Pelodiscus sinensis: one gene and its partners. The protein of the gene in region 1 binds, or shares a complex with, the protein of each later gene. Links are inferred from orthologs where the notes say so. Each region holds a gene or a part of one and is shown in the gene's direction. Other genes may lie near its edges. The genes, in order: GNB1, corticotropin-releasing factor receptor 1, TRPM3 and CRHR2.

Region 1 (7,361 bases):
CCCATCTGGTTCCTCAATCAGAGTCCCTGCCTTCCATCTGATGCAGGGGTCATGTGTGGCTCTTAACTATGCAAAGCCAGAGTGGGGAGGGGTACATTGCACACTTCTACTCTGAAAACAGGCAGCTTTCATTGGCCAGTTACTAGTCAATGGGAGCTGCAAGATTTTGCTGGGGGTGAGGGAAGTGTGCGAAGCCTCTTCTCCCTTCCCCTGAGGCTTGCAACATTCAGAGAGCTGCTCTGAGCAGTATGCAGGAGCAAGTCAGGCAGAGAGCCTGGCAGAGATTCCCACAGGCCAGATCTGGAAGCTTAGCAGGCCAGATCCAGCCGGAGGGCTGTATTTTTCCCTCCCTTTCCTAAATGGTAATAGCTAGGAACACCACATTTGGTGTGCGGCTTCCTCTTATCGTAACATAAAGCAAGGTAAGGGCATGGTTGTGCCAGGACAATGGGATGTGCCTGGAATTCGACTGTTTCTCATAAAATGGAAAGGAAGGGGTTTCTCAGGAGGAAGTTACACTGCAGAATGACCACAGAGGGACAGCAATAGGCCAGAGATGGGGACTAGGACAGCTATAGCACCATTGGGGCGGCAGGGACGGAGAAAGGGACAGCTATCTTCTATATATTTCAGAGAGTTTGTGTGTCTGTCTGTATATGTGTCTTTCTGTCCCCCAGATGGAAAACATGCACCCATCCCTCAGCCATGCCCACTGCAGCTGCAGCAGTCTTAGACAGGCACTTCCCACCTGGCTCCAAGTTTCTGCAGAGAGAGAGGGCTGGAGTTGTCCTGTCTCCCTGGGCAGTCTGCATACTGAATGCTTCGTACCCAGTCCTGCCGCAGAACAACGCCAGATTAATCTTCTAGAGAGTAGAATATAAGAATGGAGAAGCAATATAAAGCAGGACAAAGCAGCAGGAATGTGTGTCACCTAATGTCACAGATACTTGAAATTATGGGGAATAAATGTTCATTGGTTTGTTATTGTATGATTATAACAAATCATCCTTGCCATATATTTTTAAGTCTAGTAATACAGGGAAAGATATGGGACCTACACCCAGAGAAAGATACCATCTCAGAAGACTAAAAGGCGATTTTCTCTTTCTCAGCAAGCTCAGAGCCTTGTTTAAAGACAAAATACCTTTTTGACTTTAAATCTGCCAAGACACTTCTGGACATAGTCAGATTGGAAATGGGCCAATCTGTTTTGGCAATTAAAGCTGATGCAGTACCAGAAAAGCTTTCAGACCAGAACTCTCCTTGATATTACAGGTTTTTAGCTTTTTATATGCCAGCTCTTTTTTGTATATTTAATACTGGGTGGTCTCCCCGTCATTAACCACAAATTTTAGGGTCTCAAAAAGGATATCTTAATCTCAGTGTTTAAAAATTCCACACCTATGTATCTATATATGTGTTATGAAACATACCTTTCAAGAAATCCTATCACTCCAATGACAGGCTGTTTTGACTGGAACATTGCAATAGGTATGCTTACAATTACTCTTCAAACTCTTTACCAGTACCCAGTAAAGCAGACAATAAGCCTCTTAAGTAGTTAAATCTCATCACTAGTTTAGAGATAGGCGAAATGAAGCATAAGAGAGTTCAAGGCCCCAGTCTTGTGGACATCTAGACAAATGCCCTACTTTACACATTGACTTCTATTGACTTCATTGGAACTGTCCATGAAGTAAGCATCCATTAAATTTGTAGGAATGAGCCGTAAGTAAACTGCCTGAAGTTACACACCGGAACAATAGTAGAACTGAGACTGTAACCCAAAAACTGTGATGCTCATTTGTCTGTTCTAGATAGACACATAAGTATGTTTCCTGTTTTCTTATAGACAAGTTTGAGGGTGGAGTTCTGAACTTCCAACACGGGATGTGTGTTTTTTCAAAACACACCTGAACAATGATTATATAAACAAAAATATACAAAAACACAGTTACCTAAGTTATTTCACACTAGACTAACACACATCAAGTAACTCATTCACCTGAATCATAATCACCAAAACTATTCTTACTCTTAGTAACTATCCATAACCACCCAATTCTGAGGGGGTGGGAGGTTTTATTTTTTTTTATAAACACATTTCCCACCATGCACTTCCTCACATACCTGGCAATTTAAATCCAGAAGGAGACAACTGATGACCTATCGAGGAAAGTTTTGAAGCTACAAGAAGCAATTTATTTTCTTCGGTTGATTAAGCAATTGGTCTTATTTTTCTTTTCTAGTTTTATCAGCACATATACAGGCAGGATTTTAAGCCACTTTTTTTTTCCCCTGTGGATTTTACTATGTGTATTTTAAAGAGTTTATTTGGTGCTCCTGGGCTTCATTGTAACTAGTTAGGCAAGAAGAGAAATTCTGAAATGTGATTTAATGTAATAAAGTATTGGAAAATGTAGGGGAGACCATTAATGGAAAAAGATCAATGTATCTGCATACTTACTTCTGTGCCATTAGGAAAGTAGGCCGAGGTGGTAGGCCACTAAATTGGAATGCAGATCACTTAATCTCTCTGTACCTTAATCCTCACCTGTAAAATAAGAATAGTATTTTTGTTCCTTTCTTTTGCTTATTTAGATTAAACTCACTGAAATAGACACTCCCTTTTACTATCTGTACAACTGAGTTCTTTTGGGGCTATGAGCACTTCTGCAATACAAATAAAATCCTACAACAGGGAAGGGGAACCTTTTTTGGGTTAGGGGCCACTGACTCAGTCGGGAGCCACAAATGAGAAGCACAAAAAAAAAAAAGTCACTGAAGTGGCCCTACACTGAGAAGGAAAAAGACACTCCCCACATTTCCCTCCCACACCAGAGCCGGGAAGGGAGGGGGGTCAGGGGAAGGCAAGTAGATTTTGTGTGCTCCGGCCACACAATGGGGCAGTAAGGGGACTGGAACACCAGTTTGGGCTCCCCAATGTTGGGGGCAGCTCTGAGCCTTGGGGGCTGGCTCCAGGCAAACGGGGGGCAGCATCCGACCCCCAGGCCTGAGGTTCCCCACCCCTGCCCTACTGGGACATCTATGTTTGATTATACCAGATTATGTGTCTGCTTTTTTCTAAGTCTCCTGGGAAAATATGATAAATTAAAAGGGAACTGCTTTCAACCTTCTTGCCTAGGAACATTTCTCCAAAACTCTGAAAACACATTGGTTTCTTATATCTTTAAAAATTAAAAAAACTAATTTAAGTCTCAGACTATTGTTGTGCACTTTTCTTTCTTCAAACCTAACTTCTTTGGGAGTAGAGATAATATATTATCATGTTAAGTATACTGATTTTGTACCAGAAGGATTTTTTTTCTTTGCAGGGGCACCTCTGCATAGGCCAGACTCAAAATTCAATTTTTTAAAAAATGGGTGACCCTTTACAAAACCTGAACTGTGGGGTAGGGCAAATCAGGGTGACTTCTCATTTTGGGGGGGCCCTTGCTTTGTCCCCCATTCAGAGCGATGTATGATCAGCATGCCATTTGTCCTGATACTTGGCAGGTGGGAGGTGACATAGGTGGGCAACTGGAAAACGGGCTGGGGGATGAGGCCAGGAGGGTGCATAGATGGAGAGGAGGTGAGTGGTGGTCTGGAGGATGGCACGGGTGGACCACAAGGGTGCTGATGGACAGCAAGAAGACTAGTGAGGAGGTGAATGATGGGCAGGTAAGTGAGGAGGCACGTGGTGGGTGGATGGAGGGTGAGGGGTGGATGGGCAAACCAGGCACACAGCAAAACTAGTCAGGAAACAGATTTGTCCTGGGTTTCACACACTCCTAGGAAGGGCCGACTGCTGGAAAGACATGGAGACTGTTACCTCCGGATTTAAACATTTCCCCTCTAGCATCATAAAAGTGCGGGGCGGGAGAGACGACCAGAAGTTACTTCCAGTCGCCTGCTGAGGCAGGACCAGTAAACAAACGAAGCCCTGCAATATGGAGCCTGGGAACCAGAAAGTGAAACTGCGTTTCATGATCCAGGAAAGAAAAAACCCCCCAGCAATATGGCACAACTAGGAAGACTTCCCTTGGCCCCAGCCCCGTTCGCGCTCTCCCCGCCCCACCGTTTTCTGAGAGACACATTCAAGAGCTTTTGTCTGACCCTCGGGCTGCAGCTGGCTCGAGATCGAGCTCCAGGGGGATTCGCACCACAAAGACGGCTCCGTCCCCCGCCCTTGCAGTCGCCTTATGGCCTTTGCTCCTTTCACCCCCAGTTCTCTTTCCCCTGCCCTTCCCCCACCTCCTCCCTGCGCTGCTTCGCCCTCCTGCCCTCGTCACCCCCACAGCCGCTGTGGGCGCGGGGAGGGGCCGGCCCAGGAGGCGGGGCGGGACCGGCAGTCGGGGTTTCCCGGCCCGGCCGCACGGGCGGGGCGGTTACCGCGCCCAGGCAGGCTCCGGCTCCCGATGGCTGCGGGGAGCTGAGCAGGGACCAAGCGCGCGAGGAGGAGCCGAGAGCCAATCCCCCCCCCCCTCCGAGCCGCCGTCGCCACCCCGGGACCGGCCAGACGCAGCGCGGGCGGCTCCCCCAACTCGGCGGGGACGCAGCGAAGAGTGGGCACGGGCCGCGGGCGGCGGACACAGCGGCCCCGTTAATGAGCAGCGGCCGGAGGGGCAGGTAAAGGCCCGGGGTCCCCTTCCCGCGGAGATTGCCCCGTCTCCCTCCTTCCTCTGTCTTCCCGCCCATTTCACCCCCTCGTCTCCCCCCTCGCAGCCCCTCCCCCCTCGCAGCCCCACCTTTGCCACCTCTCCTCTGCCCCCAGCTTGCTCAGCATCGAGAGGCTGAAAATACCCCCCCCCCCCCGCGCTTCCCCTCGCAAGCCAGGCTCTAGCTGCCGGAGGAGGAAGGGGTGGGGGTAGGGTGGGAGTGAGGCTTTCTTTTGAAGGGCTTTTTTATGACGAGAAGGGAGGAGAACCCGGGATTTTGCAGGGTTCCATTTTTAATTGCAATTAGGCTGGAGTGATTTACACTAGGCACGGTGCTGTTCTTTGTGTGTGTGTATGTGTAAAGGTAGAAAGGTGAGTTGGCAAAGACTTTGAGCCCTACTGAGGGAGCGCGTTTGGGGGGGGCCCGGGAAGGCTCAAGAAAATGCTGCGGGACGTGTGTGTGTGTGTGGGGGGGGGGGCTGTAATGGTGGAAAATTGATTAAGAGGAGACAAGGTTGAGGCAAACAGGGTGAGACTCCAAGCAGTCCCTAGCCCAGGAAAGGGAACATCTGGGGCTTGGAGGGTGGGTTCACATTGTTTTTGGCTGTGGGAGGAAGGGTGGGTATGTAAGTGTTGTTAATAACATAGCTAAGGGATTTATGTAGCTTGCATATTTGTTGTTCCTCCATCTGGTATGGTGCTGCATATTTTCGTGTGCCTGTAAGTGTAATATAAAAGATCATGGAGGATGTTTGCTACAGCAGACTAAGGGAGTTTCTGCACAGATGAAATGTTAAAAAATATTAAAAGCAATACCCATCCCCCAAATTCACAGTTTCCTTATGAAAATGTTTTCAGTACATTTTTATCCATTAAGGGGTTTCCAAAGTGTGGCTTTTTAAAATTTCAAGTCTAAAACGGCTTGTAAAAATTAAAAAAAATGTAAAATCGTTTATATTTTAAGTAATGAATAATGGATTAGGAATAGTCAAGACTTTAAAAAAAAACCTTGTCGGGATGATGAGTTATTCCAAGATGTCAATTTATCACTTGTGAAGATTAGCTGAAATTTTAACAAAGGTGATTTTTCAACATTCTCTGACCAAGTTACAACTTGGGACTCATTTCACATAAGGTGTCTTTTCTATCATATTAACTGCTACATTATTAGGTATTGTCTACACAGTAGAAACAAAGAGCAAAGAACATCTTACAATAAACGGAAGCTTTAAAAAACCAGTGAAACTGTTCCTACAGACAACTGACTGAACTCAAGAGGAAAGGATTTAAAACTGAAAATGAAATGAGACAAAACATTTTTGTAGTTTGATCATTTCTGCACCTAGTCAGTCCTTGAAGGCTTATTCCACATTTTGAAGCTTGTTTGCTAAGCACAAGGATGTGAATCAAGAAAAAGTGCTGTCACTTTATTTGTAAAATGCATGTGGAAAACAATAAGGGATTGCACTGAGATTTAAATTCTGCTTAAGTGTTCTGTGTAAGACATTCTAGATAAGCGTGTATTTTTGGGGAGTGGGGTGATAATAGTGCAGTTGTTTTGGTGGCTGCAGCTTACCGAGGGTGTGTGTCTGATTTTCTTTTTTGCTGTGAATGAATGGACCCTCCTGTGCCTGGGCCCAATAACTGCAACAAGATGGCGTTTGCAGCAAGGCAGCTCTCTCATTTTCAACTCCTCATCTTAGCTCTGTTCAACTAGATCTTATTTCTTATATGTTAATGTCTCTTCTGTTTGCTTTCTCATATTTTTTTTGTTTGCAGTGGGAAGTTGATTGAGGGAATGGTAAAACAAACAGAGTTTTTCTTTCTATTTTAATTTGTGTTGGTTTTCTCCCATATAGATGGGAGGATAGAGTAAGTGGGAGGAGTAAATAGTTTTATTGAAATTTTCACTGTAGGCTGTGACTGGATAAAACACGAATATGATTTTCTTCTACCATCTAACGCCTCTTATAATGGTATTTAGGAACATTTTACTTTGTTTTCTATTTTAACCACAAATAGACTTTTTTAAAAAATATTTTCCCATAATCTATAATGTGTATATAAAAACCTGTGTGAATGGCTTTGTAAAATTTTGTTTTACCAATCTAGTAGTAATCAGGCCCAAAGTAGCCTTTTTTTTTTTTTTGTGATACAAAGGAGCAGCTCTTTTCTGCTTGAGAATCTTCAGATGATTTGTGGAGGCTTCTAAAACTGCATTTGACCTGAAATTGTTGTCATACTTAGATCATTATTCTTTCCTTAATAGAGAGGTGGAAGAAAAATGTTATTTGGATATTAAAACCTTGTCCTTCGTTTTATATGGTACATGTCATATTTTAAAAATTACATTAGGCTTTCAAAAAGAGGTCTTTTATATTGCAAAAGGCATACATTCCCTATTGGTAGTTTGATGTTTATTATTTATACTAGTATTAACTTTCTTTTTATTTTATAGAGGATGTTACATTAGACTCTAGTTAGTACTTAATACAACTGATTTATTCTCAGGTATTTTCAAATGACTGTTAAGTTTAAAAAATACATGTTATACTAGTCTAAAAATATTTGGCTGGTTTATAATATGTCTTGTATTCAGATGACCTCTAAACCCTTGATAATGGATCAGGAATTTAATTGCTGCTCTCTGAATTTATTTTTGTATAATCCATCATTTGCTGTTGGTTATACTCTAAATAACCA
Region 2 (7,038 bases), on another chromosome or scaffold:
TGGACCAGGAAGGTGCCTGCCTTCTCCAGCCCCTGGCAGGCTCCTGGGAGCTGGCAGACTGGTCCTGGGGAGCGGTGGAGGGCTGGCTGCCAGTGGCTTGCTGGCTTATATTTTGGGGCCACTGGATCAGGGGCCCCAGTCGCCACTGCTGGCTCTGGGCTGGCAGGCTTGGAGTTGGCACAGGCAGCTACCCATTTAATGGCTCCGGGGCTCGGGGAGAGGAGAGTAAGTTTTCCTGGTTGTGCCCAGAGTGGTCACCAGGGCTCCCTGGGAAGGGCTGGAGGCCCCCTATTTCGAATTAAGTGTCTACACAGCACCTAATTCGAAATAGCTATTTCGAATTTGGCGTTATTCCTCATAGAATAAGGTTTACTAAATTCGAATTAAGCGCTCCGCTATTTCGAATGAATTTCGAAATAGCAGTTTGCATGTATAGACGCTATTAAAGTTAATTCGAAATAACAGCTGTTATTTTGATTTAACTTTGCAATGTAGACATACCCTGAGAGCACATGTAACCTCCTTACACCGTTATTCTCCAAACTGAATCCCAGGGAAGCAATTCTCTGTGGGGTTTTTTCAGTTACTTTTACTGTTACTTCAGTTACTCTTACTGTTCTCTTACTTTTTCTCAGTTACGCTGTAACATCTAGCAACCAAGTAAACTGATGAAGTGGGTTGTGCCCATGAAAGCTCATGCTACAATATACTTGTTAGTCTCTAAGGTGCCATAGGACCGCTTGTTGTTTTTAGAGTTATGTACTAACACGGCTACCCCCTGAGACTTTCAACCAAGTAATGTTCACCAAGTAAAAACTTACTTGTTTTGTTGATAAAAATCACTTGAAGATTGTGATCTGATTGTGTCTAAAAGGCAAGAGGTTCTGTGTGCACATGCCTAAGACTGCATAGAAAAATCACAGGGTTGGTTGTTTTTTTTTCAAGCTCTCACCAGAGGGAAAGTTAAAGAGCTTGAGGGTACTTCACAGGAAGAAATTCCCAAATGCATCTTCCTGGGTTCTCAAATTTGTTTATTTTTTTTTTTGTATTTGGGTGGTGGCAGCGATACCCATCCAAGGCCAGGGATTCTGTGACCTTGGAGAGTTTTTAAACAGAAGTCTTTACTGGCATTTGGCGAGGTATTTTAAAGTCTCTTGCGGGGCCCACCTTCTGCATTCAAGTGCCAGAATGGGGAACAGCTTTCACAGAGCCTACGCTAAGGGACTTAGTCAAAAATCTAAACCTAGTCGGCATTTCTACCTAGTGACCAAGGATAAGGGTCACGGTCTCTTGTGGCTGTGTAATTTAATTCTGAAATCCTACATGGTTATATTGACCAATTTTCTAGTTGGCATTAGCCATGTCTTAGTCCAAAACATAAAAATATAAAAACAGCCAGACTGCATCAGACCACAGCTCCATCTAGCCCAGTGGCCTGTCTTCCTACAGTAGCCGATGCCAGGTGCCCCAAAGGCAATGAACAGAACAGGGAACCATGGAGGAATCCATGTTTGCCTTCTTATCTCCTGTACTGTTCATTAACTGTTGTTATGGGTATTTTACAAAACGCTATAAAACTAAATTCAACTCTTGAGCCCTTTTCTTTAGTTAAGCAGCTGAAATCAAAAGAGCCTTAAGAATGGGGATAGGAGGAATCAGGCAAGCAGTTGCTTTACTAAGGCTTGGTTTCTATCCTATCATTCTTGCAGTATTACATGAGAACATAAGAATGGCCGTACTGAGTCAGACCAAAGGTCCTTCTAGCCCAGTATCCTGTCTGCTGACAGTGGCCAGCACCAGGTGCCCCAGAGAGGGTGGACTGAAGACAATGATCAAGCGATTTGTCTCCTGCCATCCTTCTCCAGCCTCTGACAAACAGAGACCAAGGACACCATTTTATCCCCTGGCTAATAGCCTTTTATGGACCTAACCTCCATGAAATTATCTAGCTTCTCTTTAAACTCTATTATAGTCCTAGCCTTCACAGCCTCCTCTGGCAAGGAGTTCCACAGGTTGACTACGCGCTGTGTGAAGAAGAACTTTCTTTTATTAGTTTTAAACCTGCTACCCATTGACCTCCTGTTTATCTGTCCAGGATACCCAGGGCTACTCCTGCCACAGTAATTGGCAGGAGCAGTGTTTGACTGAGGGGGAACTGCTGTTGGAACTGACAGGGAATCTGCCCTTTCTGCTGAGGACAGGGGCGGGAACACTCAATGATTGGCTGTTTGGTTCATTCCCAAAGAAGCACTTGGCATTGGCCACTGTGGGACTAGATGTGCCGTTGGTCTTACCCAGTATGGCTGTTCTTATGGCCTCTTGCTTCTGCTGGAGGCTGACTCCTGGCACCCCAGGCTTCAGAAAAAAGCAAATCCCTTGTCTTTGGAGTATACCCCGAGAACCAGGTGGTAGTAGGACGGCAGCAGGGGGGCAGGAAGGCCTAGTGGACAGAACACTCAGGACTCAGAAACACTGAGTTCCTTGCTCTGGCCTTTTGGGTAATGTTGGGCACGTGTCTTCACTTCTCTGTACCTCACTTTCCCCACCGGTAAAATGGGAACAATAATGCTGCACTCCTTTGTAAAGCACCTGGTGCTCTATTGGCCAAAAGCAAGAGATTTGCTCAGTCCCCAGCAAACCGGGGGCGAATGTCGGCACAGACATGGCTCCCTGAGCCCCTTTTCACTGGCTCTTCACTGGCAGGTCTATTCCCAGGGAATCCCCCTGGGGCAGGCACTCCTCCAGCACCCTACCCAGCCGTGCAGCCGTCCTTCCACAAACCGGTTCAGGCAGCTAGCGCCGTTGCCCACCGAGGCCTGCAGAGTGACATGGGAAGCCGCAGTGCAGGATGCTGGGTGCTCACCGCAAGGGGACCTCAGGTCCCACTCAAAGTGATTTACTGGCAAGAAAAACACAACAGTGCAGCAGCCCTGGCACTGCCGCAACCCCCAGCAAGCTACAGGGTCTCTGAGCATCAGAGAATATCCCCTCAGTCCAGGCAGCCCAAGTCTCCTGGCCCCAGGAATTGCAGCCAGGCTATTGTATTGCAAGGAGCCACTGCTTTAGTTGATTTTATAAAGGCAATCCCTTCCTCTGCCAACCTCCTCAGTCCAGGCACCTTGGGCAGCAAGGAACAAAAGCCTCTGCCTACCAGGTCTGTTCCTCCTGGCCTGGAAACAGCTTGAAAATTATAGCCTGGGTGCTGGACCGCCAAGAAACAAACCAAGGAGCTATTTTGTCCTGGCTCTCTCCTAGGGACTCCAGGGAAAGTGAGAGGGGCCCTGGAGTGGCAGAACGGTCTAGCAGTTAGAGCAGGGGTGGTTAAGAATCAGCACTTTTAAATTGCCCCCCCCCCCCGGCAAAGTCACGACTCTTGTCGCTGCCTCTTGCCTCAGTTTCCCCAGTTGTACGATGGGAATAAAACACGCTGATTTAAATCCCGGTTGGAAGCGCACTGGAGTCTGAATTCACAGGACTCGCTGAGGCGCTCCCGTGTCCAGGGGTGCGAGATGGGCCGCGTGCCTGGCCGGAGAGCTGCGGCTTCACTCCGGTTCGCTCAGGGCTGCCCCGCACTGAGCCCGCGGGCACCTGCCGTGGGCAGCAGGAGCTGCCAATATTTGCTGGTCCTGGGGAAGGGCACAGCCGCGCTGGGGAGGGCAGACAGGGCGCACCGTCCGGAGGAGGGAAGGCGCCAGGGCGCAGTACCACCCCCGGAGCACCAGAGGCGGCGGCCGGCACCGGAGTGGGGCAGGCGGCAGAGCCTCCGCCGCGCACCCGGGACAGCTCCCCACTCCGCACCCCCGCCTTGTCCCGCCCGCTCAGCGCCCCCGCCCCAGCCGCCCGCTGCATCCTGCGCCCCAGCCCCCCGTGTGCGCCCCGGCGGGGCTCCTGCCCGTGCCCGGGGGCTGCCCATTGCAGCGCTGCAGCGGGGGAGTTAAAATACCCAGCCCGCCTCCTCCCCGGCCTCCGGCAGAGCCCCCCGCCCCGCCCCGGCTCAGCCTCTGCAGCACCAGCCTCGCTGCTGGCCGCAAAGCACCGGCCCCCTTAGGAACCGGCGAGAGCGGAGCCGCTGGCGCGGGCGGGGCTGCCCTTGGCTGGGCAGGTGAAGTGCCGAGGGCAGAGGGGGGCTGTGGAGGAGGAGGAGATACGCCGGGGGGAGGCTGGAACCCAGCCCCATCCGAGCCGGGGAGCCGGAAGGCGGCGAGCCGGGCAGCCCGAGCGCAGCAGGATTATAAAAGGACCGGCCGGGGGCTGGCGGCGAGAGCCGGGGGCCAGCTCCTGCTCCCGGAGAGCCCGCTCCGCAGGCAGGCTCCTGCCAAGCAGACCTGGCTCCCTCCCCGCTCCTCCGCGACACCAGCATCCCCGAGCAGTGCGGCAGCAGACGGGCCATGCCGGCCGGAGCCCGGCCAGGGGGGAATTAACAGCCCCAGGATGGTGCTGCGGCCAGGTCCGAGCCTCGCCCTGCAGGTAAGAGCCGGGCTTTGTCCAGGGACCCCGCTCACTCGAGCGGGCTGCATTGGCACAAGCTGCGCCGGGGGCGCCTCTGTCCCGGCCTCGGCACTTGGGGGCGAGTTGGCGATGTATCGAGCCCGCAGCAGCGCGCCATGCAAGGAGCCGCGGGCGCTCCAGCCGGGGCAGAGCGAAGAGGGAAGGCTCCCGGGGGTCGTCCTGGGGACGCGGTCTGGGGGCAGCCCTGGGAGAGGGCGAGCCCCGCTTGCTCCGGCAAATCCCCTGGCGCGCTGCTCCGCGCGGCTCCGGCTTGGTTCCCCGCGGAACCATCTGCTCCCGGCTTCCCTGAAAGTGGCCGCGAGTCGAGTCCCCCGCTGCCTTGGCTGGCTGGAGCCGGCAGGGCCCCTACCGGACATGCCCGCCCGCTTTCCCCGCTGCACCGGCCCCGGTCCGAGGGATACTTGTGGGAACACATCGAAGCTGGAGCCGCGGGCGGGACAAGCCGTTGCCTTTCCCCCGGGCGAGGTGCCGGGTTCCGCTGAGAACCCAGACCCAACCCACACGGTGCCAAGGGGGGGGGGGGGGGTTCGACGAGCACCCGAACATTTTTGGCAAACCCCGGCGCGGGGGTGGCAGAACGCGGCTCGCTCTGGGCCGGTGTAGAGGGGACCAGCTCTGTGCAGCCCGCTGAGTTCCCGGCGGGGGAAAGCCCGCAGCGGCCAGAGACAGTCCGCAAAGGCGGAGGGCTAAGTTCGACCGGCCCTCTGGGCGCAGCGGCGCTTTGCAAGCTTGTCGGTTGTGCGACAGAAGTAATTGCAGACCCTCGTGTTACCCGGAAAACCGGGGCGTCCAAAGTGCCAGCAGCGCGGAGCATTGGGAAGAATTACTCGGAAGTGCTAACGCGCGCCAAGGGTGCAGCGCGGTTCCACGCTCCTGCCTTGGATGAGCCGAGTCTCTGTTGTAGTCGCTGTGCTACCGTAATGCTGCATGAAGAGAGCTCTCGCGCAATGTTATGGTCGCACCATTCGTGGTAGGCTTTGGATTTTTGAGGTTGTTTTTTTTTTACAAAAATCATGGGAAATATTGTCTGTTTCCAGTTAGCGTTTAAATGCTCCTCTGTGTTTTCCCCGTCTTTGAGCTCAGGAAGAACTGCCCCTTTCCTGTCACTTCTGTCCACACCCTTGTCCAGAGCCCCTCTGGGGAGTTCATCCCAAACCATTTGAAGAGATCCCGAGCAATTGACCAAGTGGGGCAGAGGGATGAAAGTGGAGTAGAGGGCAGCCTTAGCTAGGTCCGGGTCTATACTGTCTAGGTAAACTGATAAATAACACACCAGATCCAGCACAATGAAATTACAAGGCAACACACTTCATAGAGTCTGGCAATGGAGGGGAAGTTCTGCACCTGTGCTGAGGCAGAACCAGGTGAACCTAGAACCTAGAATCATGGAGATTCGCCACAGGCAGGATTCCATATGGTTTGTGTCTCTGAGCGGCACAGCTGCTCGCAGTTCCCAGTGGCTGTGGTTTGCCGTTCCTGGCCAATGCGAGCTGCAGGGATGTGGTGGCCCAGCCCACAATGCTTTCTGTGGCTCCCATTGGACACTGGGAGCTGCAAGTGGCCTGGCTAACACATGCCCAGTTAAGCAACCTGCCTGGCAGCCGGATGAGCCATGTCTGGCATGTGGGCTGCAGGGTCCTGTGGCTGACCCAGAGCATCTCTAGACCATTGGGTTCTTCCTTCCCCAGACCTGAGGAAGATTCTGAGTAGCTTTGATGATGGTCCCTCCCTCCAACAGAAGTCGGTCCATCCTCTCCCCTCTTGTCTCTGTCGTAGCCTGGGGCCAACAAGTGTTTATCCAGCTTGTTCCTTAAAACCTGCAGGGATGGAGATTTCACAACACCTCTTGGAAGCCTGTGCCAGAGATTAACTATCCATATAGTTAGAAAGATTTTCCTAATATCTGACCAAAATCTCCCTTCCTAGGATCCGGTTTAGAGGGTTACCTGAACTAACACACCTCTGATGAATCACATTACACTTCCTTCCCACACTTTATTCTCAGCACCTCCCATGATTGACCTAGGAGGGAAGCCTGAAAGAATTGGGCTTGTTTAGTTTCGAAAAGAGGAGATGGAGTATAAAAGGGTGTTATAAGGAGGAGGGAGAAAAATTGTTCTCCTTGGCCTCTGAGGATAGGACAAGAAGCAAGGGGCTTAAATTGCAGCAAGGGTGGTTTAGGTTGGACATCAGGAAAAACTTTCTGCCTGTCAGGGTGATTAAATACTGGAAGAAATTGCCTAGGTGGGTTGTGGAATCTCCATCACTGGGGATATTTAAGAGCAGGTTGGACAGATATCTATCAGGGATGGTCTAGAGGGTGCTTGGTTCTGCTGTGAGGGCAGGGGACTGGAGTCAATGACCTCTCAAGGTCCCTTCCAGTTCTAGTGTTCTATGATATTCCTCCTACTTGGGGCCTCTTCGGGGAAGGGCTGCTACTATTCTCAAGGGCAAAGAAGTCATAGCCTCTGTGTCTCTCAGTCCTGGGCAGTCTTTGCAGGGCTTGGGAGACATACGAGTCCCTCCTAG
Region 3 (7,905 bases), on another chromosome or scaffold:
TTCAGAGTGCACAATTTTCTGGACAATGCTTTATTATACTGTCTGCTGACCGGTCTTGTTCTTGTGTCTTCTGGCTTACTTAAGTATTGTGATAGTTTTCAGGATAATAAAACATCTAAGGCTATCCTAATAGCTTAGTGACCTATTTGATTTTGATTTCCAGTTCCTTGCTTCCAAGGCAAGAAGTGATTGGAAGTATTGGGGAGAGATTGCATTCAGTCTCTTGGATCAGTGAACAACGGCACATCTGGAAACTAAGCAAAACTCTCAGATGCTTAGGGAACAGCAGGTAATCTTCCTCAAATGGAAGAATTGATGGCAGTGAGATAAGGTTGAAAGATGTAAAAGGAAAGGCCTTGTACATTGTAAAATTTTCAGTGTTTGGCATAATTATGTATTATTAGGAAGATGAAGTGGGAATTAGATTGATATTTGGTGTGTACCTGAACTATAAAAATAATGTAGGTATTCATGTACTCTTCTGGCAGTGGAAGATGAAATAGAAGATAGCTTGTGAACAGAATGAGTATTAGGTGTAGTGGGTTAAGAGAAACAACGGCATAGTCAGTCTTGAATTCCATCTGACTATTGTAATATAATCATAATATAATATAAATCTTCTGACAATTGGAGATTTAAACAGAGTTTCAAAGTCTTCCCAACTACCATGGGAATAAAATATATATACAACTTATGTGAACAGAATATAAGGGGCATTTGAACATGACACTTCTGCTGTTCCCTAGGAGAAGGTGAACCTAGAGGAAGATGCACTGGGCTGGGACCCAGAGGCTATGTCTATACTGCATATTTATTTTGGAATAAACAATTTCGGAAGAAATATTCCAAAATAGCTTATTTCAAAATAGCATGTCTACATGCCAAGAGCTCATCAAAATAGTGCCGAGCTTTTTAAAAATAGAGCTCCCACACTGATTAAATGCTAACTCGCATTTAAGGCCACCAGGAACCACTTCAGACAATCCCTCAGGCAGCAGCCATGGGAAGTATCTGAGGCTCTTGCTTAAAGGGAATTTTCGAATGAGGAAGGACACCTTTCTGGAGCTCTGACTGGTTCACCCCTGCCCTCAAGCAACAGGACTCTCACATGAGACCCACCATCCTCCCTCAAAAAGTGGATTGCGATAGCCCTCTGGAAGCTTGTGCAGGTATGGTGCTCTCGGGCTATTGTCCCAGGATGGGGGAGAACTGCTGGAATGGAGTTCCCTAGGGAAAGGGGGAACTTTGGGGTGGTAGCACTGGTGCAAGTCCCCAACCCTGCCGGGGGATGGGGTAAATGGTGGAGTTGCTCCTGGTGTGTGTGAAAGGAGGGGGGATGGGGGGAGTACATCTTCCAAGGGCTCTTGCCACCCTCTGATTCTGTTTCTTTGTCTGTCTCTCCTTTTACAGGTGGTGCTGGCCATCAACACCATTGTGCTGCACAGGGTCAAACACCTCAGCGTAGTGGAAACCATCATTGCCGCCTTTGCCAACATGGGCTTCCCCAACTGCAGGGGAGGGGAAAGTAAGGGCACCCACATCCCTATCCAGGCATCCGTCTATATCAACCAGAAGGAATATTTCTCAATGGTCCTGCAGGCCATCAAGGACCACTGGGACCAGTTTACAGACATCTACGTCGGGTGGTTGGGGAAGGCTCACAACGTTCCTGTCTTCTGCAACTCCAGCATGTTCCAGAGGCTGCACGCAAGAACTTTTTTCCCCAACTGCACCATCAGGGTCAGGGACGTGGACATGCCCATGTACATGGTAAGGGATGTGGCCTACCCTCTGTAGCCCTGGTTCATGATGTCCTACACCAGCCACCTGGAGCACTCTTGTTTAATAATTTACATAAAGATACTTGATTATCTAAGAGGCATATGAGGCTAAGAAAGATACGATTATCGATGAAATAAAAGATCCCAAATATTATGGTTATCTATCCATTCCTATTCTAACCCATTATCATCTATTGCTTTTCTTTTTGCTAAATTTTAATTATTTGGCTGAAATTTTCTAGATACATTCTTTCTCTGTTTTTAATGTTTCTTTATTTAAGTGTTAGGAAAAAATGTGAAGCACTTTCTGACAATGAGTGAAGTGAAAATAGGTAGTTTTAACAATCTTAAAACTATCTTTTCAGAAATGTTCCCTCTAATCTTTTTAATCTATGTGAAGATTTATTCTGTCCATGTGCAGAATAAATTTTATGTGCACCAACACATGTCAATGTGCACCACTAGTAGAAACAACAACCCCTAGCTGTGGATGCTCTACTAACCAGTTGGGCGGCATTTGAATCTCTTCTGAGCAGATGCACAAGCACACAGCATACAGGAAACACTGCTTTCCAGATTTTTTTAAAGAGCTCTAGCTCCTCAGGAGTTTTCAGCAAGACTTGAAGGCTACGTCTAGATTGGCAAAAGCACTTTTTGCGGAAAAGCGTCCCTGGCCAATCTAGACACGCTTTTCCGCAAAAAAGCCCCAATCGCGAAAATCTGAGCTGTCTACACTGGCCTTTTTGCGCAAAAGTTTTGAGCAAAAGGGACTTTTGCCCGAATAGAAGCAGCATAGTATTTCCGCAGAAAGCACTGATTTCTTACAGTAGGAAGTCAGTGCTTTTGCAGAAATTCAAGCGGCCAGTGTAGACAGCTGGCAAGTTTTTCCGGAAAAACGGCTGATTTTCCGGAAAAACTGGCTGGTCTAGACACAGCCGAAATGTATCAGACAGTTCAGTGGTGAGAAAGGTGGCCTTGTTTTCCCTGTGAAAATTCATCCAGACTTTGCTAAACAACAAGCTTCAGAGAGCCACTGTCTGCACATGTGCAGAAGAGCTTAGAATCATAGGGCTAGAAGAGACCTCAGGAGGTCATCTTGAATCCAGCCCCCTGCCCAAAGCTTGTTAAACTCTGAACATTCTCCCTGCCCTGCACATCCTTCTCAGTCTTTAATGAAACTCTTCCATCATTTTGAAGCAACCATATAGACAAAAATGTATCCTGCTCCTGCTTCTGACCTAGCATAAAATGCATTGGGTTGGGACCCAGGGAGACCTTAGTCCAGTGACTCTGCTTTCCTGCTGACTGATGTTGATAATTCTTGTGCCTTCACAATCCTTAGTACTAAACTAAGCCTCTACCCCTTGATTAAAAAGGGAACATGACTCAGCCCTCCTTGCTCCTCTCTCAATTTCACAATAAACTTTACCCCCTTACACTGAATGAAGCATGGGACTTCTGGAAAAAAATGGAAAGTGATATGTAACTAAAGACAGTACCATAATTCATCTGCATAAAGGGAATTGAATTATGGTCACAAAGGCAATTTTGGTTTGTTTGTTTTGTACTTGACTTTGCATCCTTAATAAAAACTGAAGAGATACAAACATCAGCCTAAGTATTTGTTTGTATATATAAATTAGATTGTGGCCATTCACAAAATCCTGCTTTTTCATGCCATTATCCTTATGAATTACGCCTGGTGTCACATGCACGATGAGAGAGAAATTCTACTGTTTATGGTTCAATTTTTTGTTTAATGTGGAGTTTTGATTTTAATCTTTTTGCCACAAAATATATCCCCATTTTGTAAGTGAGGCTGTCAACGCCAATACTCTAAATCAGAACTCCCACCCTCCCTAAAATCAAACTTCACTACATTAAATTAATGTCTTTCTATCACTGGGTAACAAAACTGGTGAAATAACCTCACTTGCTTTTTCAAGCACCAAAGGGACTGACTTCTCAACTGTCTATAGCTTAGAGTTCTAGTTATTGAAGTATTTCTGTATTCATAAATCCTGCCATAGACTCTTACTCTACTCCCTCCTCTTTCTGAAAGACAGAGAATCCCAGCTTCCTTGAATCCTATCATGAAAGGGAATCTTCTGTCTTCCTTGTGACCAGAGAGTGTCCCACATTTTTGGTGGGTTCTAAGATATTTTGAATACAATAGACAAATTCTCTAATGAATTAACGTGAATAAAAACCATCCACACATAAGAAGGCTTTAGATTTTACAGTGGCTAACTATATTCCCTGATTTGGGTGGTTTGCTTTCTAACAGTTACGGTCAGAGCTTCAGAAGCCAGAGGAAACATCATAGTAGACCTTGGCTTATAAAGGTTAAAATATTAATTTAACTTTTTACAATGTGTGTGCCCATTGTAAACATAAGATTATGAATTTGCTTCTTATGACTCTCTTTATTGGGCAACCCTACTGATTTGAGTGCAGATGCATTTCACTAAAAAGCCATTGAAGCTACTTAGGAAAGGAACTGAACCTCATTGCTATGTAACAAAACCTTGGAATATTTACATCTCTTGGGAAGAGAAATATCCTCTCAAATTACCTACTTGATCAGATTCTATAACAGAAGGCATTAGGCTTCCTAAACTCATAAAAAGTATTTGGCTATTAGCTTCCAATCTACATTTAATAGAGCTATTAGCATTATTTTGCATTTGCTGACCTAGCCTTCCTGCTATTACCATGGCATTAAATATGCTGTGAAGCAAGTGCCAACAACTCTCGACTTTACTGAATCACATTAGATAACCTGGATATAAATGGGAATAATGTGCACCAGGCTATATAGAATGGATCTGATTTGGTTTAGATATTTAATTTAGATGAGTGATGTACACAAGTATAGCAAATTACTTCCACTAAAACATTTCCTTAGAAATTTGTGTAAGGAGGGTTAACTGGTATGTGCAAATCAAAAGCTTTAAACATTTCTTAGGTATTCCTTGACACCTATGTTATACCTTGGCATCCTAAATGATCCTTGAATAAGTGGAGAATTCCAGATGATCTTTTTAAGCATTACCTTTATAACTACAAAAAGTACAATGGAATGTGTGTTCAAGCTCAAGGATTTACTGTGCTGCACCTTGAGACACCTTGTAGTCAATATTCTAAATTTGAATTTGGAGACAAGACCATTACAGTGCTCTAATCGTTCCTAAGCTGTAGCCTAATAATTACAAAAGGGAACTACTAGCCCAAAGCCTTTCCTGCTCTTGAGTTGTACCGTCAGTTCTATGCTATGGTCTGCCTGTGACCTCCTATAAGTTACTGTAAACTTTTGTTTCTCAGTTTCTTCATTTACAAAATGGGGACAAATAAGAGTGACCTACACCTCACAGGAGTATTGAGGGACTTGGATTTATGTTGCGGAAGCTCTTTGAGATTTTTAGGGCGCGAGCCACTTTACTACTGTAAAAATGTTACTCCGTAAACCAAAGGATACAACAACTCTCCTGCTCCATCAACAACTCCATTAGCAATGGCTGAATCCCAAGCCGGGAATGATTTTGTGTCCTACACGGCGGCGTGCGCTGCCTAACCACAAAGAGCATGTTCCAATAGCGAAGGCAATTTACCTCTCCTTCTCGCACAAGGTAATGTATTTCCTTGCTTGCACTGCCTCAGATAACAATTGCATGCTTAATTCCCTGGTTCCTGGGTTGCAACTTCAATACACTCTGTTGCAAAATAATAACAGTTTAATTGTCTCTCCGCTCTTGCTTCTGTGAATGAAACTTGACCTTTCACATCACGGTCGTTTCGGATCAAATTTAGCAGGTTAATATACAGCCGCTTCTTCATAGCTCTTCGCCCTTGGGGATCAAAATGATTAAAACCGAACAAACTCATGGGGGGAGGGGAGGAATCCCACACGTGTCCGGCTTGCTGCTGCAACAATCAACCTGCAGTGCAATTCGGCGGATGAGTTTCACCTGCCACCTCTCTCCAAACTCGGACGGGGAGTTATTTTTGCCCGCGATGGGAGGCACATCCCGGTAAATGAGTGTCAGGAAAGGGGAAGGAGACGCTTCCAGCGTCCCCTGCAGTTGGCACTGACCATCTTGGGAAAGACCAAGGCACAGTGGAGCCTTTCTCCAGCGGGGAAGGTGCTCGGAGAGGGACAAGTTCTGTGCCCACGAGCTGCCGCCAGCCTGTCCCTCCTTCGCCAGGTGGGATCAGGTGTGCGAGAGGCTGGCAGGGGAGGGGGCAGGGCCGCCTGTCCCGTTATCTCCTCCCTTGCCAGCGGCTGGGGAAGAATTGGGCGAGGGGAGCGGAGACGGAGGGAAGAGCGGCTGGTTCTGCGCCAGCTGCTCCCCCCGGTCTCTTGGCAACGTCATGACAAGCGCAACCTGGGCGCTGCTGTGGTAGCTGGCGAGCAGCGGGAGCCGGCTCCTCGCGACCCCGCCCCAGCGGCAGCCCGGCGCCTCCCGGGCGCGCAACAGGCGCGCGGAGCGGGCGAGCCAGCGGGATCCCGGCGTGGCGGCCCCGCCGCCGCCGCAGCAAACTTGGCTGGAAGATGGGGAAGAATTGGCGGAGCCCGAGCGAGGCGGAGCGAGGCTGCTCGGAGCAGGAGGACGCGGGCAGGAGACGGAGCCGCAGCGCCAGTCGGGGGCGCTTCGCCGAGTCCTGGAAAAGGCTAAGCTCGAGGCAGGGGTCCACTAAGCGGGCTGGGCTCGCTTCCCAGCAGGTGCCGGTAAGTGCGAGAGCCCGGGCCAGGCGCCCTCCCTGGAAAGCCCTTGGACTTGCTGCGGGGGGACTCGAGGAGGGCTCCGTGAGCGGCCTCTCCCGGGGGCAGGGGAGGGTTTCTGCGGGCAAAGCGGCTTCACGGGGGCACCCGCTTCATTGCGCGGGCTGTGGGCAGCTCTGGGGCTCGGGTCCATCCTTCATCCTCCCTAACCGCTCCAGCGCTGAAAACCCGTCTGCGCGGGGGGAACGCCACTCCCTCCTCGCACTTGTTGCGCTAGAAGCTTTCTCCGTGAGCCAGTCGTTGCTTTGGGTCTCCCTCCCCTTGTTGAAATGACCAGATACAACCGCGCCCCCCTTCCCCCCCAGTTGCTGGAGGTATTCTAGAAAAACATGTCTTATGTCTTCTGACTCTGTCTGGAGACAGGGGCAGGGAAACCTGTTGCTTGTAGCTGCTGGAAGAGCTGAGGAAAAAAGAAATGTGTTTACTGTCTTGGTTATACTGGTGATGGAATGGACTGAATCCTCAAACCAGAGCCCCCAAAAACCATGTACATACCTACTGGCATCTTCACACGACATTGGGATTTTCAGTTTCCTAATGGTCGGTAACTGCTACTGGAACCATCTCACATCCCTCCTTTTATGGTGGGTTTTTCTTTCCCCTTAAACTCGCGTCTGAAAGTTTGTCTCTTGAAATAATTTTAAATCCTCTTTGGAGGCAATGCGCTATGAACCGTGTGAGCTGTTGAAACGTGAGGGAAAACTGCATTCAATGAGACACACCCTATTTTAGGTTTTAACTTTTATTTTTCCCAAATATGAGGCTTTCATAAAGTGTATTAAAAAGCTTGTATTTCTTGCTTAATAGAAATTTTGTAAGGTGGAGTGACAAACATATTTATGCATATACACGCGTACATGTATTTGAAAGTACATCTCCAGTATCTTTTCCTGACAAAATTAACAAGAAAACTGAGGGGACAGTATAAAACTCTTTGGGCTGTTACAAATTTATTTTTCTCACTTTACTTTGAGTACTACTGCTGTCTTCATTTGCTTAGGAAAATACCATATGTTCTTACCAAAAACCTGTTGCTTTGGTTCTCAAGTTGTGCATTTGGTTTGATAGAATTAGTAATCCTCCCTCGTTCTCCTCTCCCCCCCTCCCCCCCCCCCCAAAGTATATGATAACTTGTTAGCTGTCATATTGGAAGGAAAATATCCACAGGTTGACTGCCCTATTGGGGGGAAAACATAAGGGTAAAAGGTCCTATAAGTGTGCTATGACAACCAGAAGACATGTGGCGAAGCAATACTACTCTCATCTATAGGGAAAACTCAGTCATCTGTAACACTTGTAGTTTAAAATTATAATCTGTTTTTTAAAAGATGAAATCATGGT
Region 4 (7,931 bases), on another chromosome or scaffold:
GTCTGCTGAGAAAAGCCGCTCCGCATCTCCCTGGTTTGCTGGGGGGAAGCAGCTAGTGCAGGGTTGCCTCACGTCATATCCCTACTTACAAACGGGGTAAGTCGGATCCATGTAACCCGGGGACTGCCTGTAGTTAAATGTCTGGACTGTTATTGCTCATTAAAAGTGCTGTTATACTGGTGGAAATCAGGTAAATAGTGCATTTTATTAATATCAGAAGAACAGACTTGAATGGGACCTACATGTTGTGTAGTCTTGTCTTAATCTTTGTATTCACACCCGTCAGTGTGAAAGAAGCTATTTGCACATATTTTTGCATGTATATGCAACCACACTTAAGTGTGTTGTGAGTATCATTGTGGCCCCCAGGGCTTCCAAAGTTGAATAGCCCTGCTTTATATTATTATTTTATTTATTTAATTTAGTCTCCTGGAATTTTTAATACCCTGCTTTGGTGGAAGGTTGGCTCATATTTACAGCCATGCTTAGACAGAACTTTTCTTTCTTTCAGTCATTAGTTGTTACATTAAATTAGACATATAATCATATAAGTAACCGCCCACTAGGGTGGTTATAAATATTGTGGCTATGTTGCATTCATAAGAAACTTTTTCCATGATCCTTCATATATTTGTATGTAGAGCTCTGCGCGGATACAAAATTTGAATCTGCATCCACATCTGTATCTGCAAAAATGAACTGTGGATATCTACACTGACATTTGCAAATACGAATACCCGTGGATAGCTGCAGATTTTCTGGGCTCTATTTATATGTCTTGTTCTGGCTAACCACAAACTTCAGGTGCCTACTCTGTTTCCTCCAACTACTACTCCGAGGCTATGTCTAGACTGCAGGCTTCTTTCGAAAGAGGCTCTTTCGAAAGCATCTTTCGAAAGAGCCTCTTTCAAAAGATCGCGTCTAGACTGCAGGCGGATCTTTCGAAAGAGAAATCCGCTTTTTCGAAAGAAAGCACCCAGCGAGTCTGGATGCTCTCTTTCGAAGACGGCCTCTTTACATTGAAGAACGCCTTCTTTCGAAAGAGGAGCTTTCGAAAGAAGGCGTTCTTCCTCGTGAAACGAGGTTTACCGCCATCGAAAGAAAAGCCGCGTTCTTTCGAAATTATTTCGAAAGAACGCGACTTGAGTCTGGACGCAGGGGAAGTTGAGAAATAACCTTTTAAGAAACATCCAATCTAGCTTTCAAGAGGAAGAACCCCTTGCAAGCCTCAGTAAATTAATTAAGGATACAAATAAGACATCAAAAAAGGTAGCATACAAAAACCAGTAGGAGAACACTTTAACCTCCCTGGACACTCAATGGATTTAAAAGTAGCCATCCTTCTGCAACAATCTTAAAACACAGACTGCAAAGAGAAACAGCAGAGCTTCAATCCATTTGAAAATGTAACATCAAATTAGGACTAAATAAGGACTCAAAATGGTTATCTCACTACAAAGGCAATTTTCCTTCTCTTGGTATTCACACCTCCCCATTAACTACTGGGAGCAAGCCACATGCACCTGACTGAATTGGCCTTATTAACACTGGTCCTACACTTGCTAAGTGTGTGTGTGTGTGTGTGTGTGTGTGTGTGTGTGTACTCATGCACTCACTCACTCTCTCTGCTTTGTTTTTATAGTTAAAAATATCCACCTTATTTCTCAACCTAATTTGTCTTGGTCCAGCTTCCAGCCTCTGGCCTGTGTTTTACCTTTGTCTGCTTGACTGAAGAGCCCAGCGTCAAATATTTGTTCTCCGCATAGGTACTATTTGATTGTGATGTAGTTAGCCCCTATCTTTCTCTTTGTTAAACTCAAGGGCTGTGTTTAGACTGGCCAGTTTTTCTGGAAAATCAGCCGCTTTTCCAGAAAAACTTGCCTGCTATCTACACTGGCCGCTTGAATTTCCGCAAAAGCACTGACTTCCTACTTTAAGAAATCAGTGCTTCTTGCGGAAATACTATTCTGCTCCCGTTCAGGCAAAAGTCCCTTTTGCGCAAAACTTTTGCACAAAAAGGCCAGAGTAGACAGCTCAGATTTGTTTTCCGCAAAAAAGCCCCGATCGTGAAAATGGCGATTGGGGCTTTTTTGCGGAAAACCTGTCTAGATTGGCACGGACGCTTTTCCGCAAAAAGTGCTTTTGCAGAAAAGCGTCCGTGCCAATCTAGATGCTCTGTTCCGAAAATGCTTTTAACGGAAAACTTTTCCGTTAAAAGCATTTCCGGAAAATCATGCCAATCTAGATGCAGCCAAGGAGCTCAATCTAGTGAGTTTGTGACTGTAAGGCATGGTTTCTAATCCTTTAATCATTCTTGTGCCTCTTCTCTGGACCTTCTCCAATTTATTAACATCCTTTTCAATACTCCAGTCATGAGCACAGAACAAAATCCAATTGAAGGCACTAGCCTACAGCCACGTACGTACACACAGAAGTTCTCATGACTAGTGCAATCCTGCTGTGTGTACGATGCTGCCCTGCCAGTGAATGTTAACATCCCATTAAAACACCTGGTTCCCATTTTTTTCCAGTTTTCATGACAACTTTTCTATTAACAAGTGTATAATTTTTTAAAAACTAAAACAAATATTGAGTTTAATCCAACCGGGATTCTTTAAAACAAGCTTCTCCTCTAGGGCCAAGCAGGCAAATGTAAATAGAAATAACAGTTGAATAAATAAAGGGAGTGAGGATGCAGCAATGCCTTATGAAAATGTTTCCCACTAAAGCCTTAAAGGATGTAAGGAAGAGAATAAGGTTTGACAGAGTTTCATGCCAGAAGGGACCTGACCTCCGCTTTATGAAAATTGTCTTATGAATATGCATATGCATAACTTGCAGACATTTTAGGCAAAATGCATCATGTGACATGTTCTTTTTAAAGTTACAATCTGTTGAATTTTTTTTCTGTTTCTGTGCGTATGTCATTCTTGTATGTGAAGTTAGAAATATGACATGAGAATCTGTTTTTAAATCTAGATGGTCTAACGAGAACCATTAGTGATACTCTAGAAAAAAATGGCTCAGTATTTAAGCCAATAAGCTGTGAAAAGTCTTTTTTTTTTCTATAAGCCTGGATTGTGATTGGTCTGCCAGAACATGTGACCTGGCCACCTGAGGCCGGAACCCATTTTGGATCTGGTACTCTTCCACTCATGTGTTTATACTGAACACAAAGAATTCCTGCTTTGGTCAAGGGAGATCTAAAGGTGGGAAACAAAGTAATAGGGCAGTGACCAGATGCCAGAAGACCTTCCCCCAATTACCACTCAAGATGCATGCTGGAAACATCTAAGACTGAACTGGGGGAAGGATCAGGCCAAGCTGGCTGGTTGCTTAGCTTCTGAAAAGGATTATTAGAACTACTGTTAGGCTACGTCTACACTGGCATCCCTTCCGGAAAAGGGATGCTAATGTAGCACATCGGAATAGCAAAATCCGCGGGGGAATTAAATATCCCCCACGGTATTTGCATTACCATGGCTGCCGCTTTTTTCCGGCTTGGAGATAAGCCAGAGAAAAGCGCCAGTCTAGACGTGATTCTCCGGAAAATAAGCCCTTTTCCGGAGGATCTCTTATTCCTACTTTGAAGTAGAAATAAGAGATCCTCCAGAAAAGGGCTTATTTTCTGGAGAATCACGTCTAGACTGACGCTTTTCTCCGGCTTATCTCCAAGCCGGAAAAAAGCGGCAGCCATGTTAATGCAAATACCACGGATTTGCCTATTCCAAAGTGTCTAATCTGCATCCCTTTTCTGGAAAAGGGGTGCAGTGTAGACACAGCCTTAGGGTATGAATTTGCATGTAACAGGTTTCTTAGTGTATTAAGCCTAAGTGGCCAGTTTGGTTTAATTGGACTTAGTAACTTACTTTGATCTGTCTGTTTTCATTTACATTCACTGAAACTCTACTTTTTATACTTAATAAAAATTTAAAAATTTATCATCAAGCCCAGTGTAAATAATTATTACCTGCAGGGGAGGCACAGTTGTGCATCTCTCTCTTTCATCCATAAAGAGAGTGGCCCTTATGAGACTTTGATATAGAGTAAGACAAATTTATTTGGGGTTTGGTCCCTTGGAGGGTTGTGTTCCTGGATGCTGACAAGCCCCTTTAGCTGAACCTTCCTAGAGCGTAGCTGGTCCAGCATCTGTGTTACTCCTGGGAGCTGTTACCCAACTCTGGGGGAGACCAGAGCTTCAGGATGCACAGGACAGCGTGTCTATTGGTGGTGCACATCCTCACATACCACAGTGCACACCATAAAATTTATTCTGCACACGGATGGAAAAAATAGAGGGCACACCTTGGCGGTGAGGTGCGTAGAGGCTCAGTGGTTTGCTCAAGGTGAGGCAGTCCAAGGGGACCTCTGTGAGACAGCCTGTCACATTCATGTGATTGCCTGCGGGGACTTCCAGGATACACAACCTGGCTAGCCCCTGTTCTGCCCCGGTGTAGACTGCCCTGTACTGCCACGGGAAAAACCTGAGGAGGGTGCTGCCCAAGCGCCGGGTAGTTCAAATTGGGGGGCTCCAGTCACTCCAATGCGTCTCCCGCCTGCGCTGGGTGAGCGCTGGTTTCACTCCCACAGCCCACCCGTGGAAGGGGGTCCCAGCTCGGGTGGGGGCGGGGAACGAGGGCCTGGACGGGGGGGGATCTTGCGATGGAGGGAGCCGGCTCCTTCCATCCACTGTGCCCAGGGCTCGGTGGGACCCGCGCGCGCGATGTCTCCGCTCCCTCCCCAAGCGGTGCCAGCTCCCGGGGCGCCTCTGTTTCTGGGCGGGGAGGGGGCGCTGGTGGGGACCCCCCACTCTCCGCCCCGCGGGGGGGGCCCGGCCGGAGGAGGGGGCGCTGCGAGGGATCCCGGTGCCCGCGGGGAGGGGCTGTCCCGGCCCCAGCGCGGCGGCAGGAGGCGGGGGCGGAGGGCTGCCTGCTCCCCGCGCCGCGCCCTGCCTCCCTCGCAGGGCACCAGCCGGGGAACTCGCGCGGCTCCGGGGGGATGCGCCTCCCGTGGGAGCGGTGAGGGGGCGCGGGCGCCCCGGGATCCCCATCCCCATGGGGGGGCCGGCCCCGCCGCGCAGCGTCCCAGCCGCCGCGGCCGCCGCGCTCCTGCTCCTCCCAGTAAGTGTCCGGGGGGCTGGAGGAGGGGGTGAGTGTGGAGGGGGGGGCAGAGCCGCCCCGATCACCCAAAGCGGAGCCCCAGAGACTGAGTCACCCCCCGGCTCCCCAGACCCCCCCCCCCCCGCGCAAAGCCACCCTCCGGGACCGCACAGAGCCCCCGGCACCCCAAACACCCCCCGGCACCCCAGTCCCAGCGCGCAGCCAGCAGGACCCACCCGGCTGCCGCGCACCGCCTCGCTCTCCCCCGCACAGGAGTCCCTCCGGGCTGAGCCGCCCCCTCGTCATCCAGCAAAGCCCTGGCACCGGCCCAGCGGGACCCGCTGGATTCCCAGAGCGGCCGCGGTCTCCCAGAGTCCCGGCGAATCCCCCCCCCCGCCGCCAAATCGCCACTCCACGGACTGCCCGGAGCCACCAGCCCGGGAGACTATCCCTAGCTCTGAGTTAGTCTCCGAAGTGCCACCGGACTATGGTCCATTTTATCGCGGCCCCGCTCCCCCACTGAGCAAGGAGTCGTCTAGCAACGGTCTCGAGTAACTTTCGTGAAATAAGGCATCCGAAAACCCCCTGCCCCCTGAGATCACCCCGAAACCTTTTTTCAGCGGAGTCCCAATGCCCTGATCTCGCTGCAGTATGTTTAGTTGTTTGGCTAAGGCACCGAGAGCTGGTCCTGCGAGCTGGCATTCACTCTCGGCTGATTCCTCCCTGCGTTACTTTCTCACAGCAGGATTCACAATTTAGCATTTGCAACCCTAAGGGCGAATTCAGCCAATCCTTCCAAACGTTTGCTCCGTTTTCACCTGGGCAATATGACATGGATTTATTTCCCTTGAGCAGAATCATCCCACTCTGCAAATATGTTGCTGGGGGGAGGGAATTGGGTTGTCATAGCTCACCATGGACTTAAACTTTGCCAGTCAGTTCCTTCTCCACACCCAAAACCCATTAAATTGTGAGTTGTAATCTGCAAAGCAGAGCAAACTCCCCCCTCCCATGATTCTGGTCCCCCCATGATTCTGGTCCCCCCATGATTCTGTATCTCAGTCACCAGTGTGAAAAGAAATAAGAGATGATCATTGTGTCTTCTACTAAAGTCCATCTTGACATTCCTTAAAGGTATATTGATTTGTTTCCTCTTGCTTCGCCTTCTATTTTTACTTATTCCATCTCTGGGGGGGGGGGGGGGGGCGTGGGGGAACCACTTTGTATATATGAGTGATGTTTGTAAAGTGCACTGAAAAACTTGTTGGAAAACAAACATGAGGGAGCTAGAGGAATATTATCTAAGTCTCTGCTTTCATGTCATCCTCCTTGACCTTTGGCTTCTATTTTATGCCCCTTGCCATACTTCTGTTGTGCTATTGTAACCAGTAGGCAGAACTAAACCCGTGGAGCTTTGTACATGGGCCTCTACAGCTTAAGCTATAAAGCTAGCTGCCACTTAGCTAAGGCTGTGGAGCATCAGAGAGGTAGCACTGTGAGTCTGAATCTGCAAAAGCGGCAAGGAATCCTGTGGCACCTTACAGACTAACCAAAGTATTGGAGCATGGAGCATAAGCTTTCGTGGGCAAAGACCATCTGGTCTTTGCCCACGAAAGCTTATGCTCCAACACGTCCCTTAGTCTATAAAGTGCCACAGGACTTCTTGCTGCTTTAGCTAAGGCTGTGGACCAAATTCATTCTTTTGCTCTGTAAGTGGTCTATGTGCCAGTACATGGGATAGTGAACCACACCCAGTTATACTACATTTGCCCCACACAGTCCACCTCTCAGACTCTAGCTCTGCCAAGCATCTGGTGTCAGAAGGTCAGTACATAGTTATATCAATGTATATGATAACTCTTGCTTTTTGTAGGTAATAGCTATTTCTTTTCTTTATCAGCCCCATCAATCCCCCCCAAACCACGAAAAGACCAGTTTTATTTATTTATTTTAATCCCTGGATCTCAAAGTGCTTTATGAGATGTGTCTTGTTATCCCTGTTTTACAGATGGAGAAACTGTAGCCCAGAGAGATAATGTCCAACAATTTCAAACTTTGGCTCCAATCTAGCAAAGCCTTTAAGCATATATTTGACTTAACTTTAAGCACTTAACATGTCCCACTGAAGTTAAAGGGATTCTGTAATGGGGGTGAATGAGGCCCTGAAGCCCCCTGCTGGAAGTTTGTGGTCTTGCCACACCCAGTCCCAGCAAACAATAGAGAAGTCTTCCAAAGAGGCTAGATTGTCTGCAGGAGGAACTGACCAATCAGGGATTAGGAAGGCTTACAAAGGGAACTGCAAAACAGTGCAGCAGTCAGTGCAGGACAGAGTTTAAGGAGAGCAGACTGTGAAGTTAGCTGAGGAAGCTGTCTCCAAGTGGAGAAGCCCTGGAAATGCCACTCTCTCCAAGTGGGGAAAGAAACTGAAGGGGCACCAGATCCAAAGGGAGAGCTGGCTAAAGACTGATGAACTGTGATAGAGCCCTGAACGAGGGGCAAGGAAGTTGTTTCCTTCAGGGGAAGCCCTGGAGGTACCACTCTCCCAGTGAGGAACAGATTTGGAGACACTAGCAGCAGGCACAGGGATGGACACCTGTTAAGTGTGTATCCTGGAAGGGGTTTGCATTGCCCATAGGAGTGTGGCTTGGCCAGAAGGTTGAGTAGCCAAAAAAGGCTGAAGAACAGTGCAAGCACATGCACTTGGCCAGATGGGGGTCTTATGGGAGGTGAGTGCCACCCTGTTACACACTTTCATTTGGGGAATTAAGAACAGATGTAATTGTTTGCAAGATCAGGCCCTTAGACACCAAAATCTAGTTTAAAGTGTTTTGA

Evidence for each region.
Region 2: the proteins of GNB1 (region 1) and corticotropin-releasing factor receptor 1 are in contact, whole or in part, in a cryo-EM structure (PDB 6PB0), measured with the Homo sapiens proteins. The link is inferred for Pelodiscus sinensis from reciprocal best matches to the Homo sapiens genes GNB1 and CRHR1. Residues at the interface, in NP_001269468.1 of Homo sapiens: Arg42, Arg46, Arg52, Phe292, Val307, Ala309, Gly310, His311, Asp312, Phe335; in NP_004373.2 of Homo sapiens: Arg145, Ser146, Lys376, Arg380, Asp383, Lys384, Ser386.
Region 3: the proteins of GNB1 (region 1) and TRPM3 are in contact, whole or in part, in a crystal structure (PDB 6RMV), measured with the Mus musculus proteins. The link is inferred for Pelodiscus sinensis from reciprocal best matches to the Homo sapiens genes GNB1 and TRPM3. Residues at the interface, in NP_001153488.1 of Mus musculus: Lys57, Tyr59, Trp99, Val100, Met101, Leu117, Tyr145, Gly162, Asp186, Met188, Cys204, Asp228, Asn230, Asp246, Arg314, Trp332; in NP_001349418.1 of Mus musculus: Lys615, Arg616, Lys618, Ala619, Lys621, Leu622, Leu623, Gly624, Met625.
Region 4: the proteins of GNB1 (region 1) and CRHR2 are in contact, whole or in part, in a cryo-EM structure (PDB 6PB1), measured with the Homo sapiens proteins. The link is inferred for Pelodiscus sinensis from reciprocal best matches to the Homo sapiens genes GNB1 and CRHR2. Residues at the interface, in NP_001269468.1 of Homo sapiens: Arg42, Gln44, Arg46, Arg52, Phe292, Val307, Ala309, Gly310, His311, Asp312; in NP_001874.2 of Homo sapiens: Arg142, Ser143, Lys372, Arg376, Asp379, His380, Ser382, Val385.

What each region holds. Positions count from the first base shown.
Region 1 is NC_134733.1:18,361,139-18,368,499, reverse strand, and holds the start of GNB1 (guanine nucleotide-binding protein G(I)/G(S)/G(T) subunit beta-1), read left to right. Parts: upstream 1-4,352; 5' UTR 4,353-4,629; intron 4,630-4,748; exon of another isoform or gene 4,749-4,837; intron 4,838-4,883; exon of another isoform or gene 4,884-5,030; intron 5,031-7,361. UniProt on the Homo sapiens protein: Guanine nucleotide-binding proteins (G proteins) are involved as a modulator or transducer in various transmembrane signaling systems.
Region 2 is NC_134739.1:4,618,238-4,625,275, forward strand, and holds the start of corticotropin-releasing factor receptor 1, read left to right. Parts: upstream 1-4,027; 5' UTR 4,028-4,431; coding exon 4,432-4,467; intron 4,468-7,038.
Region 3 is NC_134716.1:33,611,926-33,619,830, reverse strand, and holds the start of TRPM3 (transient receptor potential cation channel subfamily M member 3), read left to right. Parts: upstream 1-4,898; 5' UTR 4,899-6,333; coding exon 6,334-6,510; intron 6,511-7,905. UniProt on the Homo sapiens protein: Constitutively active, non-selective divalent cation-conducting channel that is permeable to Ca(2+), Mn(2+), and Mg(2+), with a high permeability for Ca(2+).
Region 4 is NC_134712.1:248,899,019-248,906,949, reverse strand, and holds the start of CRHR2 (corticotropin-releasing factor receptor 2), read left to right. Parts: upstream 1-4,919; 5' UTR 4,920-5,054; coding exon 5,055-5,120; intron 5,121-7,412; exon of another isoform or gene 7,413-7,807; coding exon of another isoform or gene 7,808-7,825; intron 7,826-7,931. UniProt on the Homo sapiens protein: G-protein coupled receptor for CRH (corticotropin-releasing factor), UCN (urocortin), UCN2 and UCN3. Has high affinity for UCN.